Macaca mulatta: one gene and its partners. The protein of the gene in region 2 interacts with the protein of the main gene of each other region in a pairwise test. Links are inferred from orthologs where the notes say so. Each region holds a gene or a part of one and is shown on either strand. Other genes may lie near its edges.

Evidence for each region.
Region 1: the proteins of NCK2 (region 2) and RASSF7 interact in binary tests that used the Homo sapiens proteins (3 or more experiments, as listed by UniProt). The two-hybrid records come from large-scale screens. The link is inferred for Macaca mulatta from reciprocal best matches to the Homo sapiens genes NCK2 and RASSF7.
Region 3: the proteins of NCK2 (region 2) and BCL11A interact in binary tests that used the Homo sapiens proteins (3 or more experiments, as listed by UniProt). The two-hybrid records come from large-scale screens. The link is inferred for Macaca mulatta from reciprocal best matches to the Homo sapiens genes NCK2 and BCL11A.

The regions. Positions count from the first base shown.
Region 1 is NC_133419.1:446,487-452,145, reverse strand, and holds the start of RASSF7 (ras association domain-containing protein 7), read right to left. Parts: upstream 2,958-5,659; coding exon 2,531-2,957; intron 1,524-2,530; coding exon 1,424-1,523; intron 953-1,423; exon of another isoform or gene 462-952; intron 177-461; coding exon 46-176; intron 1-45. Other genes in the region: LMNTD2 (lamin tail domain-containing protein 2), read left to right, coding at 2,963-3,150, 3,223-3,399, 3,743-4,106, 4,362-4,430, 4,515-4,603, 4,905-5,167, 5,415-5,511, 5,625-5,659. UniProt on the Homo sapiens protein: Negatively regulates stress-induced JNK activation and apoptosis by promoting MAP2K7 phosphorylation and inhibiting its ability to activate JNK.
Region 2 is NC_133418.1:13,978,355-13,983,913, forward strand, and holds part of NCK2 (cytoplasmic protein NCK2), read left to right. Parts: intron 1-1,351; coding exon 1,352-2,073; intron 2,074-5,559. UniProt on the Homo sapiens protein: Adapter protein which associates with tyrosine-phosphorylated growth factor receptors or their cellular substrates. Maintains low levels of EIF2S1 phosphorylation by promoting its dephosphorylation by PP1.
Region 3 is NC_133418.1:64,330,136-64,335,694, forward strand, and holds part of BCL11A (BCL11 transcription factor A), read left to right. Parts: intron 1-1,282; coding exon 1,283-3,303; 3' UTR 3,304-3,305; intron 3,306-5,559. UniProt on the Homo sapiens protein: Transcription factor. Associated with the BAF SWI/SNF chromatin remodeling complex. Binds to the 5'-TGACCA-3' sequence motif in regulatory regions of target genes, including a distal promoter of the HBG1 hemoglobin subunit gamma-1 gene.

The DNA of each region.
Region 1 (5,659 bases), on a different chromosome or scaffold from region 2:
CTTCAGCTCTACCTGCCCAGCCTGCCTAACCCCAAGAGGACTCACCTATTGCTTGGGCCAGTGCGATGACCACTTCCTGGCAGGTGGTCTGCTCCGAGACCCCACAGACCACACGCTGGATGCCATCCACCCACACCTTCAGCTCCATGGCCGCCAGCCCCAACAACATCCCTGTTCTGTGGGGAGGGTGCAGGCCACAGGGTCAGGACCTACCTACCCCTATCAAAGCCTGGTCCTCCTCTCTTCCTTCTCCTGGACTGCCCTAGAAACGGCTGGGCTGCGACCCCTCAGCATGGGCCCAACCCTCCTGTGCCAGCCCCACCCGCCGGCCACACATTCCTAGGGTGGCGGCCCTCCGGAGCACGCATCCTCCCCCACTTCACCAGCCTACTCTTGCCACGCCCGCACTCCCGGAACAAGGAGAATCATTAACCAGATCCAGGATTTCCTGCCCGCCTCACCTGGCTCGGAGGGCACTGCCCCCTCCCCGGGCGGCGCGGAGGCGCCCGCACGCCAGGCCCCGCGGCCGCCGCCATGGGAACGCCCCACCCGGACCTGCTCAGGCCGCAGAGGCGCTCGGGGTCGCGACCAAGACCTCGACCCTGCAGATCGGGCGTACTCGGGGTCTGAACAGCCCCAGCCACCGCGGGGAGCCCCGCCGCTGCCGCCCAATCGCTGCACTCGCCCCGAAGGTCCCGGTCCCCGCGGCAGGCAGGGATGCCCGCGCCGCGACCCCAGCCTGGCGGGAGCCAGGGCGTCCCCGCTCCGCAGGGAGGGCGCAGGTGCGGCACCGCCCCCGCCCTCCGTCCCGGCATCGCGGAAAACTCTCCCCAGTTGGAGTCGGCGCCCTGCCGGCTAGAGGAGCGCCCCGCACTCGAGAGGCCCCGGGACCCCGCGCGGCTCACCTGGGCGCTCGCCAGCCTCTGTACCCGCTCAGGCGCCGCCGCAACCTGCCGCCCCCAGCGCCGCGGCGCGCCCCGGACCCGCGCCCCCATTGGCCCGCGGCCCGCACGCCCCGCCCCCAGCGCCTCTATTGGCTGCTCAGCGCGGGTGTTCCGCCCCCTCCCCCGCGCCCATTGGCTGTCTCTGTCACGCCCCTCCCCGATCCATTGGCCTGCCGCAGCGCCCCGCCCCCAGAGACTCCAGGTATGGGCGGGTCGGAGGGACGGGCCGAGCCGCGGTCCCCGCCCCCACCTCCACCCGGCTAACAACGCGGAAACGCGGCGGCTGCTACCCGCGGGCTGCGCGTCGAGACAGGTGTCCGACCCTGCTCCTGGGCCGACTTCGTCAGCAGCCTTCTAGTGTGTGGCGGGTTCCCGCCCAGGGAGGGTCTCTGGCCTGGGATCCCGCAACCCCCGCCTGCGTTGAGGGGCAGAGGGGCCAGCCCCTCCCCTCGCTTCCCGGGCCAGCCTTTGGAGCCTACCGCAGCGGCAGTAGCCTGGACGCGCAGGGGTCGCGGGGTCGCAGGATCACCAGTCGCGGCAAGGGAGGTAGAACTCTGCGGAGCTGGCGGGCGCCGAGCCCTGGTGCGGAAGGTGCCCGCTCAGGGGAAGGCCCGGACTCTGGCTGAGGCTCTTCTCCTACACCTTCCTGCCGCTTTTGGACCCAGTGCCAGGCCTTACGCACAGTGAAGCTGGCTGGAAGCCGCTCCTCCACCCCCTACCCTACTGTCCCGCCCAGGGCCCCGCAGCCTCGCGGTCATTGATTGCCATTGTGGAGCATTGATTGCCAGTTCCGCCCAGCTCAGAACGAGTTATGGGCGTGGAGGGGTCTCCTGCCCGGCTGTCTCCTGTGCTCCGCTAGGGAGCCCTTACATAGTCGAAAGTTGCAGAGGTGAAGAGTGAATGAGTGAGGGCGAGGTGGAGGGTGAAGGCTGGAATGCTCGGGTCTTGTGGGTCAGGTCTGGGACCTCGTTTTTGTCCTGGAGCAGAGGGAATACGTGCCATGGTAATGAGAATGCCCACAGGGTCCCCTGAGGGTAGCCCAGAGTGTGTGGAGATGGCTGGGAAAGGTGAGGCTTCAGTTTGGGGGTTCAGGTAGGTGAGGGCCTGTCACTGAGGTCAAAGGAGCTGTGGGCTGGGCCTGGTGGTGGAGGCAGGTGCCTGTAGTCTCAGCAATTCAAGAGATGGAAGTGGGAAGATCACTTAAGCCCAGGAATTCGAGGTTACCGTGAGCTGTGATCACACCAAGGCACCTCAGCCTGGGCACCAGAGCAAGACCCTGTCTCTAAAAAATTAATTATTAATTTAAAAAGAGGCTGTGGGCAGGGGCATACTATTCCCAGTTAGCGTTCAGCACAGTCCCCAGCTTGTCACTGTTACCTGTCTGCTTCCCCCACACACCCATGGCTATGCTGGGCTGGCCCACAGGCAGCAGTGCCCCCATATTTATCCCGCAGGTGCTGCCAGGCTAGGTAGGGGATGCTGGGGCCTCCCTCAGGGTGCTGGCCACTAAGTGGTCCCCCCGCTAAGCTGAGCAGTGGCTCAGCCTCTCACACCTCCAAGCTGGGCTGGCCCAGCCCAGAACTCACCCAGGGGCCTGGTCTGGGGTCTCCCTGGAGGCTCCTGGTAACAAACAGCCCCTCCCTTTCTGGGTGCTGGTGTCCATGGCAACGGTATAGAACCCTTCCCCTCCAGGCCTGCTTGGAGGTCTGGCCTCAGGTGAGTGCTGGGGGTAGAGCCCTGAACTGGGGGTACAAGAGAGAGAAAGAGGGACACCACATCACAGGCAAAGGGCCAGCACCTGGGTGGCAGGGGGACATACCAGGGACATGTCAGGTGGTGACCTGCTGCCCCATCCTGGTCAGAAACACACGGGTGTGGACATCCACATGTGAGTCTCTTCAGAGAGCGACGCTCTGTGAGCAGTGGTGCCGCCTGGGCTGCTCCAACCTGTGTGGCCACATGAGGCACACATAGCCAGCTTGGGACCCCCACCCCTCCGCTCCTGAAGAACATTGAGAATGGCCCCCAAGTCTGGCCAGGGGGTTGAAGAAGCCGAGGAAGAGGCTCTCCTGTCCCCCACAGAGCGAGAGTCTGTCAGTGGTCACCTGGGACCTCCAGCAGGCGCACCTGCAGCCCCCGAGACCCCCACATGCCTGCCAGACACCACGCCCCACCCCACACGGGCGGCCTGCTCTGCTGACCTGCAGTAAGGAGGGGAGGGAGGAGTGGTGAGCCTCCTGGGCCAGGTGGCCAGGGGCCCAGCCTGAGTAAGCAGCAGGGGCTGCTGTTGCTGCTGCTGCAGGTTGGCTCTTGAGTCCCTGGACCCTCGCACACTGCGGCTGCTGTGGAAGCAGCGAGAACTGGAGATCCAGGCCTTGCGGTGGGCCGTCCAGAATGGCAAGGACACCCGGCTCTGCCACATCCTGGAGGAAGTGGCAGGGATTTCACCCAAGAGGTCTGCAGCACAGTCCCCAACCAACCCAACCCTGCCCTGTCCTCGCCCAGACTCCTGGTTTCTGTCTGACCCCAATCCCAACCACTGAGTCAGATCCTTACCCTCATCCTCACCCACGCTGACCCTCCACCCTGATCCTAAGTTAACACGCTATAGCCTCAACCCTAACCCTGCACATGTGGATGGGTGCTAGACCCCTGCCCAGACCAGCCAGAGGCTGGCCGGCCCCAGTGGGGCTGTACTGTGTGCCCTTGGGGCCGAGGTGGCAGTGGAGCCCCTGACCTGACATTAGGAACCCCCTGCCTGAGCGGGGTGAGGGCTGCTGAGGTCGCCCCTCCTCCAGGAGCTCCCACAGTCAGGAGAAGTTCCTGCAGAACCAGGTCCAGAAGCTGACCCTGGAGTTGAAGGAACAGAAAGAGCGAGCCCAGTGGGTGAGGCGGGGGGCACAGGGAGTGGGCAGGGTCCTGGTGTTGGGGAGCCAGGCTGCGGCTGGCCTGGGGGCCTTCTGCAGAAGACCCCCCCACCACCACCCACGGGCCCTCCCGGAGCAGGAGAAGGAGCACCTGGAGGAGCGGCTGTTGCAGACCACCCGCACGCTGCAGGAGGTGGAGGCCGAGCTACAGAACTTGCAGAAGTCCTGCCTCCTGCAGCTGGCCCGCTCCTCGTGGGTGGGCCGCATGCTACGATCCCAGACTGGCAGTGTGGAGGTGAGCCCGTCCCCCAAGCCCTCCTGCCCCAGGCTGCCCTCCCCAGCCCTCCCCCTTTCATCGGGTGCCTCTGCTGGGGTGCCCTGGCCTGCCTGGAAGCCTGCCCTGCTCAGGCTGCCTCTGGAACTCTGGGCTCCAGCAGGGAGGAATCAGGAGGCCTCAAAGCACAGGTGAGGTCAAAGAGAAGAGGTGCTGTAGGGGAGGGGTACCCTTCACCCCAGCCCCTGCCCACTGGCCTCTGGTCCCCTCTTGCAGGTGGTGACGGCAGAGACTCTGATGGACCCAAGTGACCTCTCTGAAAACATTCAGGCCCCCACTGGGGAGGTGAGCTGGGCCTCCCACGTGTGTGGTCTGGGACCTGGAGCCCTGCGGGAGGGGAGGACCACGTGCCTGTTGCTTCCTGGCCAGGGCTTTCGGCTGGAGGACGTGGACTGGAACAGCATTGCCCACCGGTACCCCAACCTCTTCATCAGCCTGGAGCCCAACTCAAAGCAAAAGTAACTGCACAGAGCAGGGACTCCCCAGGGGCCAGAAGGGAGGGCTCACCTTGGCAGGTGAAGACCCAGAACACTAAAGGACCCCTTAGTGTCCCTGGATAAGTCCCTTCAACCTTCCAGTGCTCAGTTCTCTGACCTGTAGGATGCGTTAGGGTTGAGGGACCGTCACTGTCCTGCCATGATCTGGGCCTGGGTCCTGGGAGGCAAGAGGGGCTCCCTGCTGCACTGTCTTGTGGGGCTGGATGGGGGCAGGGCTGGGGTCTGGAGCTGGACTGGCCATCGAGCAGAGTGTGGTCCACAGGCAGCCCCGGCCCTGGCCACAGCTGGACACAGGGAGCTCAGAGTCCTCTGGAAAGCACTCTGAGCGGCATCACAAGACCGTGGAGTGGGGCTGCCTGCCCTGTCTGAACACCAGCAGCTCAGGGGGCGTTGACTCCGACTCCAGCAGCTGCCGGCCGGGCCTGCCTTCCCTCGTGCAGGTGGTAGGGCACCCACCCCGGGACCACCGCGCTTCCTCCAAGCAGGCGCTGGTGCAGGCCAGGAGCTCCAGCAGGGACCTGGAAGGTGCAGTGGGGCAGGTCTCCCCCGGTACCCTTCAGCCATCCTTTGCCCCCTCAGAGCTGTGATATCACCCAGAGCCCTAAAGGAGGTCCTCCAGCCCCCAAGGTCCAACCACCTTTCCTGCCCCATCTGACCCTGGCCCTGCTCCCCGCGCCCCCAGGTGCTGCAGGCCTGTTCTGGCCTCACAGGGAACTTCCCTGTGAGGCACTCCATTCCAGGGTCCCCTCCCCAAAAGCGCTGCTCTCTCTAGATCTGCAGAAAATCCACTCACCCAGGCACGGCGGGCCACTCCTGGCGCCCCAACCCTGCACAGACCCTGACCATTGGAGCCCGGAACACCTGCAGAGGTAAGGGGGACTGACCCAGGCCTCCCGCGCCGGGCTGGAGCTGGTTTCCCGGCGGGGCGCGCAGCTGTGCGGCTGGACCGGCCGCATCTCCTCACAGCGCCCTCTCGTCCCAGCCCGACAGGCCTGAAGATCGTGGCCGTGAGCTGCC
Region 2 (5,559 bases):
GGGAAGGCCACGTCTGCCTGTGTGGGGTGTGTCCCCAACTCTGGGGCTGACATGCTTTCCTCTCGTAGAATGTTCCAGAATTCCATGCATTTTAACACAGTTAAAACATTTTTACCTTAGGGCTTTTCTAGCATTTTTCATCACGCATAGGAAGAAATGTTTCCCATTCTGATTCAATACTCACATATGTGACTGAAGAAACAGTACTTACTGTAATTGTGTTCGATGCACTGAAATTTTCTACTTTATTCCCTTAAATTCAACACATACCTGTAGGCTGGTTGCAACCCATTAAAGTGGTTTTTATGATCCACTAGTGGGCTTTGAATCACAGTATGAAAAATTGTGTCTTCAATTTAAGGTATCAGCTAAGTTTTCCTAATGCACTCATCACAATCTGTTGTGGGAAATTAGTCTGCTGTTTTGAAAGAAGAGAAGAATTGTAAGACGAGAAGAAAGGTGAAGATGATGGGTTTTGCCCATTAGGGCTGTCGTGCTGTCCAGGGGTGAGGGGTGAGGGCAGTGAGTGTCCCAGGAGTGGAGGAGGCAGTGGCAAGGCAGCTGGGGGCAGGGCAGGTTATGCAAGCTGTGCTCCCTAAGACTGGACGGTCTTAAGAGTTCTAACGGGTCTTTGAATTCATTTAGTCTGACTTCCCACCCATTCAAGGAATGAAAAAGGTATTTTGTCTGCATTTATACTTTATTTTTTTCAGAGGCACAGGGATGCTCTAAAAACGGTTATTTCAGAAGGAAACCTTCTACTCTTCTCGTTATCTTTTGTGTCAGTGGTACTTCCGCATTTTTTGGTTTTGTTTGATTTTAGAGACAGGACCTCACTCTGTTGTACAGGCTAGAGTGCAGTGGAGCGATCACGGCTCCCTGCAGTCTGGAACTCTGGCTCAAGCCATCCTCCCACCTCAGCCTCTCCAGTAGCTGGGCCCATAGATGTGCACCACAGGTGGCTAATTTTTTTTTTTTTTTTTAATTTTTTGCAGACACAGGGTCTTGCTATGTTGCCTAGGCTGGTCTCAGACTCCTGGCCTCAAGCAATCCTCCCGCCTGGGCCTCTCAAAGCCTGGGATTCCAGGCGTGAGCCACCGTGCTGGCCCTGTGACGTTTTTATGGGTAAAATAGATCAGTTTAAGTAGTTCTCAACTTTAAGTAACTTCACAACTACAGGAGGCAGCTGCCAGCAACCTTATTTTTCTGATGGTAATTACAGTTTGTAAGCACTGTCCATGTGTCCCCTTGTATTTAACCGCCAGAGAAACTGCGTGGAAATCCCAGTAGACTAGGGAGTGGGTTGGTGCCCAAGTGCCCCGCGCCACTGAGCCTTGCTGTGTCTCCACAGGCCTTGGCAAGACGCGCAGGAAGACCAGCGCGCGGGACGCGTCCCCCACGCCCAGCACGGATGCTGAGTACCCCGCCAATGGCAGCAGCGCCGACCGCATCTACGACCTCAACATCCCGGCCTTTGTCAAGTTCGCCTATGTTGCCGAGCGGGAGGATGAGCTGTCCCTGGTGAAGGGGTCGCGTGTCACCGTCATGGAGAAGTGCAGCGACGGTTGGTGGCGGGGCAGCTACAACGGGCAGATCGGCTGGTTCCCCTCCAACTACGTCCTGGAGGAGGTGGACGAGGCAGCTGCGGAGTCCCCGAGCTTCCTGAGCCTGCGCAAGGGCGCCTCGCTGAGCAATGGCCAGGGCTCCCGCGTGCTGCACGTGGTCCAGACGCTGTACCCCTTCAGCTCAGTCACCGAGGAGGAGCTCAACTTCGAGAAGGGGGAGACCATGGAGGTGATCGAGAAGCCCGAGAACGACCCCGAGTGGTGGAAATGCAAAAATGCCCGGGGCCAGGTGGGCCTCGTCCCCAAAAACTACGTGGTGGTCCTCAGTGACGGGCCTGCCCTGCACCCTGCGCACGCCCCACAGATAAGCTACACCGGGCCCTCGTCCAGCGGGCGCTTCGCGGGCAGAGAGTGGTACTACGGGAACGTGACGCGGCACCAGGCCGAGTGTGCCCTCAACGAGCGGGGCGTGGAGGGCGACTTCCTCATTAGGGACAGCGAGTCCTCGGTAAGTGCGCTGCGCCCGCAGCTCTGGCTGGAGGCAGTAAATGCGCCTTGCACAGTGGCTCTGTGTGCCGCGCCCATTTCACATTGTGTGAGTACACTAGAAAGGCGGGAGATGCAGATGAATGCAATTTAGTGTAATGTTTGCTACTCCGTGATTTCCTTGCATCTGTTTTGGGGATCGTGGGTGTCCATTTCTGGAGGTGGGAGGTTAACTGAAAAAATGTTTGTAGCTGACAAAGGTGGTTCTGCTTCTCTCCGAAGATTCCCCCTCTTGTATTTTACAGACTCAAACGTCATTTTCTCTCCTGGTTGCCCATTGTGTGTACGTAGAAGGCCCGAGTGATTTACTTTGTTTCCACTCGGTCTGTTTCCCAGAGAAAGCAATCTTTGCAAGACTGGTGGCCGGTTTCTGACACCGCCTTTTGTTGTTTGCTTGCTTTCTCTTTGTAAACCGTATAATCCCAAGGTCATTGCCACGGCAGGCAGCGCCACTGAGTTCATCTCTGAAAAGCTTTTAAAGCACTTACGAGATGAATTGAAAAGAAAACAAGGGTTCTTGAGAGAGATGAGTTTTGTGTGTGTGCAGTGAGTGGGAGATATGAAGCCACTGGACTGGGGCAGCAGACCCACTTCCAGGGGTGGGCAGGCTGGGGGCAGTGAGTTTCAGACGTGGGGGTGGAGCCTGCATCCCAGAAGGCAGCCTTTTCGTGTGTGAAGGAAATATTCGACCAGTTTTGCAAACGTCTTTACAAATACACCTTCTACAATCGAGAGACTTCCAAAACAAGCATTTAGGAGTTTGATGTATTTGAATTGTATTGGTTCTAGTAGGCTTCAATTTCATTTTTAAATGCACACTGTAAGACTAGTAAGTATGTACTACCTGCTGCCCCTGCTGTCCTCTGAAAAGGTTACTGGCACAATAAATAAGTGCACATTCAGGAGTCCTGTTGACTGATCAGAGAGGCATTCAAAGCCCTCCAGAGAGAGGCAAGTGGGATCTTCTCCTCTTTGAGGAAGGAGCATCGTGGTGGTGGAAACTGGACTCCTTTGTGGTGTCATCAGTTTTGCGGAGCCTTAGATGTGCTTGGACGGGAATGCCAGCCTGAAAGCTAACTTCATCTGAAATCTGAACTCTGAGATTTTCTTATCAAGTCACCAGAGTTTATCATTCCTGGCAAGACATCACATTGAATTGTTCTCACATGACGAGAGCTCTGTGCACCATTTCCTTTAGATCGGGTTTGAAGCCTTAAGCAAATTAAGGACAGCAGCGCTTTTAACTCAATCGAGCAGAAACTTAGAGAAAGTGCTGGAAAACCAATTACAATATTAAGTGCTTGGTCCAGAGTCCTTAAGGGCTAAGTATAATGCACAAAATATGATCTTGGCTTAAAATGTTTGAGTTTGAAGAGACTTCTCAGAAGGAAGTCCTGCAGTGTGGAGACATTGCTCCCAGTCGTTCTTCTTTCTGCCTAAGATTTGGGGAGATGAAGAAAGACTTTAGAGAGTAGATGAAAAAGGTGTTCTCCAGGGTTGCTGGCCTTAGGGAGGACCTATGGCTTTTCTGTGGAACATGCACAGGTGGTCATTGTTGTCTGAATTCAGGGACCAGATCCCTTTGGATAAGGAGGGATGCATGCATTGGCTGGGTTTCATCTCAGAACTCTACACCCCACTGTCTCAGTTGCCTTGCATTGTTAGAGAATGAGCTAACTTTTTCAAAAGTACTAAAGCACTAATTGTTTGTATTTCCTTTTAACAATTTTTTAATTGGGGGCCTTTCAAGATGTTTTGCATTCTCTCCTAACTTAGAAAGTCAAGGAGCAACATGTATGATTCCAGGAATATAGGGTGGAAAGGGCTTTACTGGCACTTGCATCGGCTCTGCACACATAGCAGCACCGTCTTGGTCTGAGGCTCCACGTGGCCTGATGCTGTGCAGGGCAGCTTGTCCTGATGGATCTTGCCGTGACACAGGCCATTTTCAGCGCTTAGTGTGCATGCCTTGTGCCACGGGGATTCTACAAGAGCCCTGAGGTGTGTGGCTTCTTTTCTCCTGACCGCAGAACCGGGCCAGGTTTGCTGCGTTTCCTGTTCATGACCAAGGCTGTTCTCAGCTGTCATCTGTGACTGCCGGGGACCTGTCCTGGTGGACAAGTGGACAAGTCCTTTGCTTGTTTTTTTTTCCCCACCATCCGCTGCCTCCCCCCATCCCCATGTGTTTCCCTGCTCATTTTGCCATTTCTCAGGTTAGAGCTGGCTTTCACAGCCACCACCAGGCCACCAAGAGCCCTTAGGTTCATGTTCTGACATAATTCCTTCACAGCATGCCAGGATGGAAAGGTTTCTGAGGGGTTCAGCCTCCCTGCAGGACTCAGAGGCAGGCATCTTCATTTAATTTCCTTTTTTCTTGGAATCTTTGGGCCTGGACCTTTCATTGAGGTTACCACATGAAGCCTGGCTTCTGGATAAGCACAGCTGTTTCTTTTGGAATGGATCTTCAACATGCGTATCAGTTTTTAAAATACCCTGAGTGACTGCAGTGTAAATGAGCTAGACCCTTGCTTGATGATATTGAGAGGTGCTTATTTCAGGGAGGACAAACATTGCCACATCCTGCACTATCCACTATCAGTAAGTGCTGGGTATTTCAGAAGTATCTGTTGGATATGTTAGATGAATCAGTGAACTAACAAATGAACGAACCTGTTGGGCCCTCTTTCCTGTCCTGAACGTCAGTGCCTACTGCTTGTTCTTCCCTTTCTTCTTCCTCCCTCGCTCTCCTCTCTCATCTACAATTGTCGTTTATCCTTAGCAGCTAAAGGTGATATATTGTTGGTGCTTATTCTCCATATTTCATTATCATACCTTCAGCTGTGAGCTATACCTGCTTAAATCCAGAAAACTCAGAAATCCTACTCACCCTGTGTGTGTCCCTCATAAATCCTTTTATATTTTGTCCACATTGATGCTATGGATGTGGCTAGAAAGCTGTACTTAAAATGAACAGTAACCCTTTACTGGGTTTCTGGTAAACTGTACAAGTTGTCAGTATTTTATTAATTGCTGCATCCCCCATCCTTGTAAAAGTTGTTCAGAAAGTGACAGATCACAACTAGGATATGGTTGGAAAAGGTGCACAGCTGGCCTGGGTGACTTGCTGGACAGCATCAGCCACAAGTCTGGGAAGCCATTTTCCTCTGTAAGATTTTAGATACCGAAGAGGTCATGTATTTATTGTGTCCTGCAATAATATTAGATACTAATATTGTCATACAATACATTTGTTTCCAATAGAGAAAAACTCTCCTGCTAAGGATAATTTAATGCACATATTGGCCATACTAAAAGTCAATGGATGTTTCATTTCTCTTTTTAAAAATACATTAAAAGAGTTTGGCCAGGAAATTAATTAGAATAGTTCCTTTCTGTATTTTCAAAGTTATAATATTTCTTATAGAAATTATAACTTCTACCCAAAACT
Region 3 (5,559 bases), about 50 Mb from region 2:
GGTTAGTTATTCCATATATATATATATTTAATTTAGCTATCTCCCCATATATATTTAATTTAGCCATCTCCCCAAATGAAAGATTTTGTGAAGTCAAGCTGGCCCTTCTTTGCCAAAGTGGCATTTACCACTCTTGGGTTCTTTTCGGCAAGGGAAATAATGTGACTTAAGCAGGGCCCCTCTCCAGACGGCTTGGCTACTGGCCAGAGTTGACTAGCTGAACTGTATCTTTCTGTTTCTTTCTCAACTGGAGCTGAGTCTCAGCCGAGGGCGCAGGATGTTGTATAATTTGGTTCACGTTGTTAGCCTCTCAAAATAATGAGGAGGAGGATAGTGTAGCATTTCTCAGCCTGCTGCCTGTCATGGTGCTGGCTGCTTTAACTGTTCCTTAAACTAGGATGCTGTGTCTGCTTAAGTCGGCACCAGCCACTCCTCCTAACTTTTCCAGACTTGCATTTGTCTGACTGGGGGACAACTCCTAAAGATTGGATACAGCCTATCCATTAGATCTGAATGAAGTTTTTCTTTCAGATTTTTAAACATTCTTTGAGATAAAAATGGGCGTTCCCATGGGGTGTTGTGGAACCAAAATTGGGACTCACTGATCCTCCCACAGTCTGGGATGTGAGAATGTTGCTAGTCTTTTTTCCATGGAAGTATTTTATGAGTACCCTCTCATTTTAACAATATCAACAATTAGTGTGTTTCAGACTAAGACTGAAAGCATCTCTAGGGCCATATAACATTGTAGTGAGTTGACCTTCTCCCCTTTTTTTGAATCTCTATGAAATGTTTGCCTATTTAGAAAGTTCACCTGCCACCCAGGGGGGAATAGAAAGCTGGGATTTAGGAAGCCAAAAAGTTTCCTTGGGTCACCTTGTCCAAGTTTCTCACTTAACAAAGAGGAAACAGAGGCACATGGAGATGAGATGGCTTGCCCCAAATTACAGCTGATGGGACTGGAAAGTTTAGAAGACATTTGTTTAGGTGCCTAGAATGTAGGGACCTTCATTCTCAAGCCAGAACTGGCCAGGATTTTTCTGCTTTGGGGACTGGATATCAAATTCCTAGAACTGAGTTTAATGGCAGGAAGACTGATTGGACCAATATTTACTGGGTACCCATGCTCAGACGTGCCAGGCACAGGAGTAGGTCAGTGAGGGTTTAGGGCTTGGGGTTGAGGGGTGGGGGCAGGGAAGGCTGGAGGTGGAACATAAATAAGCAATTGCTGATGCCCGCCTCAGTGATTAAACATTGATGTTGGTGTTGTATTATTTTGCAGGTAAAGATGAGCCCAGCAGCTACACATGTACAACTTGCAAACAGCCATTCACCAGTGCATGGTTTCTCTTGCAACACGCACAGAACACTCATGGATTAAGAATCTACTTAGAAAGCGAACACGGAAGTCCCCTGACCCCGCGGGTTGGTATCCCTTCAGGACTAGGTGCAGAATGTCCTTCCCAGCCACCTCTCCATGGGATTCATATTGCAGACAATAACCCCTTTAACCTGCTAAGAATACCAGGATCAGTATCGAGAGAGGCTTCCGGCCTGGCAGAAGGGCGCTTTCCACCCACTCCCCCCCTGTTTAGTCCACCACCGAGACATCACTTGGACCCCCACCGCATAGAGCGCCTGGGGGCGGAAGAGATGGCCCTGGCCACCCATCACCCGAGTGCCTTTGACAGGGTGCTGCGGTTGAATCCAATGGCTATGGAGCCTCCCGCCATGGATTTCTCTAGGAGACTTAGAGAGCTGGCAGGGAACACGTCTAGCCCACCGCTGTCCCCAGGCCGGCCCAGCCCTATGCAAAGGTTACTGCAACCATTCCAGCCAGGTAGCAAGCCGCCCTTCCTGGCGACGCCCCCCCTCCCTCCTCTGCAATCCGCCCCTCCTCCCTCCCAGCCCCCGGTCAAGTCCAAGTCATGCGAGTTCTGCGGCAAGACGTTCAAATTTCAGAGCAACCTGGTGGTGCACCGGCGCAGCCACACGGGCGAGAAGCCCTACAAGTGCAACCTGTGCGACCACGCGTGCACCCAGGCCAGCAAGCTGAAGCGTCACATGAAGACGCACATGCACAAATCATCCCCCATGACGGTCAAGTCCGACGACGGTCTCTCTACCGCCAGCTCCCCGGAACCCGGCACCAGCGACCTGGTGGGCAGCGCCAGCAGCGCGCTCAAGTCCGTGGTGGCCAAGTTCAAGAGCGAGAACGACCCCAACCTGATCCCGGAGAACGGGGATGAGGAGGAAGAGGAGGACGACGAGGAAGAGGAAGAAGAGGAGGAAGAGGAGGAGGAGGAGCTGACGGAGAGCGAGAGGGTGGACTACGGCTTCGGGCTGAGCCTGGAGGCGGCGCGCCACCACGAGAACAGCTCGCGGGGCGCGGTGGTGGGCGTGGGCGACGAGAGCCGCGCCCTGCCCGACGTCATGCAGGGCATGGTGCTCAGCTCCATGCAGCACTTCAGCGAGGCCTTCCACCAGGTCCTGGGCGAGAAGCATAAGCGCGGCCACCTGGCCGAGGCCGAGGGCCACAGGGACACTTGCGACGAAGACTCGGTGGCCGGCGAGTCGGACCGCATAGACGATGGCACTGTTAACGGCCGTGGCTGCTCCCCGGGCGAGTCGGCCTCGGGGGGCCTGTCCAAAAAGCTGCTGCTGGGCAGCCCCAGCTCGCTGAGCCCCTTCTCTAAGCGCATCAAGCTCGAGAAGGAGTTCGATCTGCCCCCGGCAGCGATGCCCAACACGGAGAACGTGTACTCGCAGTGGCTCGCCGGCTACGCGGCCTCCAGGCAGCTCAAAGATCCCTTCCTTAGCTTCGGAGACTCCAGACAATCGCCTTTTGCCTCCTCGTCGGAGCACTCCTCGGAGAACGGGAGCTTGCGCTTCTCCACACCGCCCGGGGAGCTGGACGGAGGGATCTCGGGGCGCAGCGGCACGGGAAGTGGAGGGAGCACGCCCCATATTAGTGGTCCGGGCCCGGGCAGGCCCAGCTCAAAAGAGGGCAGACGCAGCGACACTTGTGAGTACTGTGGGAAAGTCTTCAAGAACTGTAGCAATCTCACTGTCCACAGGAGAAGCCACACGGGCGAAAGGCCTTATAAATGCGAGCTGTGCAACTATGCCTGTGCCCAGAGTAGCAAGCTCACCAGGCACATGAAAACGCATGGCCAGGTGGGGAAGGACGTTTACAAATGTGAAATTTGTAAGATGCCTTTTAGCGTGTACAGTACCCTGGAGAAACACATGAAAAAATGGCACAGTGATCGAGTGTTGAATAATGATATAAAAACTGAATAGAGGTATATTAATACCCCTCCCTCACTCCCACCTGACACCCCCTTTTTCACCACTCCCCTTCCCCATCGCCCTCCAGCCCCACTCCCTGTAGGATTTTTTTCTAGTCCCATGTGATTTAAACAAACAAACAAACAAACAGAAGTAATGAAGCTAAGAATATGAGAGTGCTTGTCACCAGCACACCTGTTTTTTTTTTTCTTTTTCTTTTTCTTTTTTCTTTTTCCTTTTTTTTTTTTTCCTTTATGTTCTCACCGTTTGAATGCATGATCTGTATGGGGCAATACTATTGCATTTTACGCAAACTTTGAGCCTTTCTCTTGTGCAATAATTTACATGTTGTGTATGTTTTTTTTTAAACTTAGACAGCATGTATGGTATGTTATGGCTATTTTAAATTGTCCCTAATTCGTTGCTGAGCAAACATGTTGCTGTTTCCAGTTCCGTTCTGAGAGAAAAAGAGAGAGAGAGAAAAAGACCATGCTGCATACATTCTGTAATACATATCATGTACAGTTTTATTTTATAACGTGAGGAGGAAAAACAGTCTTTGGATTAACCCTCTATAGACAGAATAGATAGCACGGAAAAAAAATCTCTATGAGCTAAATGTCTGTCTCTAAAGGGTTAAATGTATCAATTGGAGAGGAAGAAGAAAAGGCCTTGAATTGACAAACTAACAGAAAAACAGAACAAGTTTATTCTATCATTTGGTTTTAAAATATGAGTGCCTTGGATCTATTAAAACCACATTGATGGTTCTTTCTACTTGTTATAAACTTGTAGCTTAATTCAGCATTGGGTGAGGTAATAAACCTTAGGAACTAGCATATAATTCTATATTGTATTTCTCACAACAATGGCTACCTAAAAATATGACCCATTATGTCCTAGTTAATCATCATTTTTCCTTTAGTTTAATTTTATAAACAAAACTGATTATACCAGTATAAAAGCTACTTTGCTCCTGGTGAGAGCTTAAAAGAAATGGGCTGTTTTGCCCAAAGTTTTATTTTTTTTAAACAGTGATTAAATTGAATGTGTAATGTGCAAAAGCCCTGGAACGCAATTAAATACACTAGTAAGGAGTTCATTTTATGAAGATATTTGCTTTAATAATGTCTCTTTAAAAATTCTGGCACCAAAAGAAATAGATCCAGATCTACTTGGTTGTCAAGTGGACAATCAAATGATAAACTTTAAGACCTTGGATACCATATTGAAAGGAAGAGGCTGACAATAAGGTTTGACAGAGGGGAACAGAAGAAAATAATATGATTTATTAGCACAACGTGGTACTATTTGCCATTTAAAACTAGAACAGGTATATAAGCTAATATTGATACAATGATGATTAACTATGAATTCTTAAGACTTGCGTTTAAATGTGACATTCTTAAAAAAAGAAGAGAAAGAATTTTAAGAGTAGCAGTATATATGTCTGTGCTCCCTAAAAGTTGTACTTCATTTCTTTTCCATACACTGTGTGCTATTTGTGTTAACATGGAAGAGGATTCATTGTTTTTGTTTTTATTTTTTTAATTTTTTCTTTTTTATTAAGCTAGCATCTGCCCCAGTTGGTGTTCAAATAGCACTTGACTCTGCCTGTGATATCTGTATCTTTTCTCTAATCAGAGATACAGAGGTTGAGTATAAAATAAACCTGCTCAGATAGGACAATTAAGTGCACTGTACAATTTTCCCAGTTTACAGGTCTATACTTAAGGGAAAAGTTGCAAGAATGCTGAAAAAAAAATTGAACACAATCTCATTGAGGAGCATTTTTAAAAAACTAAAAAAAAAAAAAACTTTGCCAGCCATTTACTTGACTATTGAGCTTACTTACTTGGACGCAACATTGCAAGCGCTGTGAATGGAAACAGAATACACTTAACATAGAAATGAATGATTGCTTTCGCTTCTACAGTGCAAGGATTTTTTTGTACAAAACTTTTTTAAATATAAATGTTAAGAAAAAATTTTTTAAAAAAACACTTCATTATGTTTAGGGGGGAACTGCATTTTAGGGTTCCATTGTCTTGGTGGTGTTACAAGACTTGTTATCCATTTAAAAATGGTAGTGGAAATTCTATGCCTTGGATACACACCGCTCTTCAGGTTGTAAAAAAAAAAAACATACATTGGGGAAAGGTTTAAGATTATATAGTACTTAAATATAGGAAAATGCACACTCATGTTGATTCCTATGCTAAAATACATTTATGGTCTTTTTTCTGTATTTCTAGAATGGTATTTGAA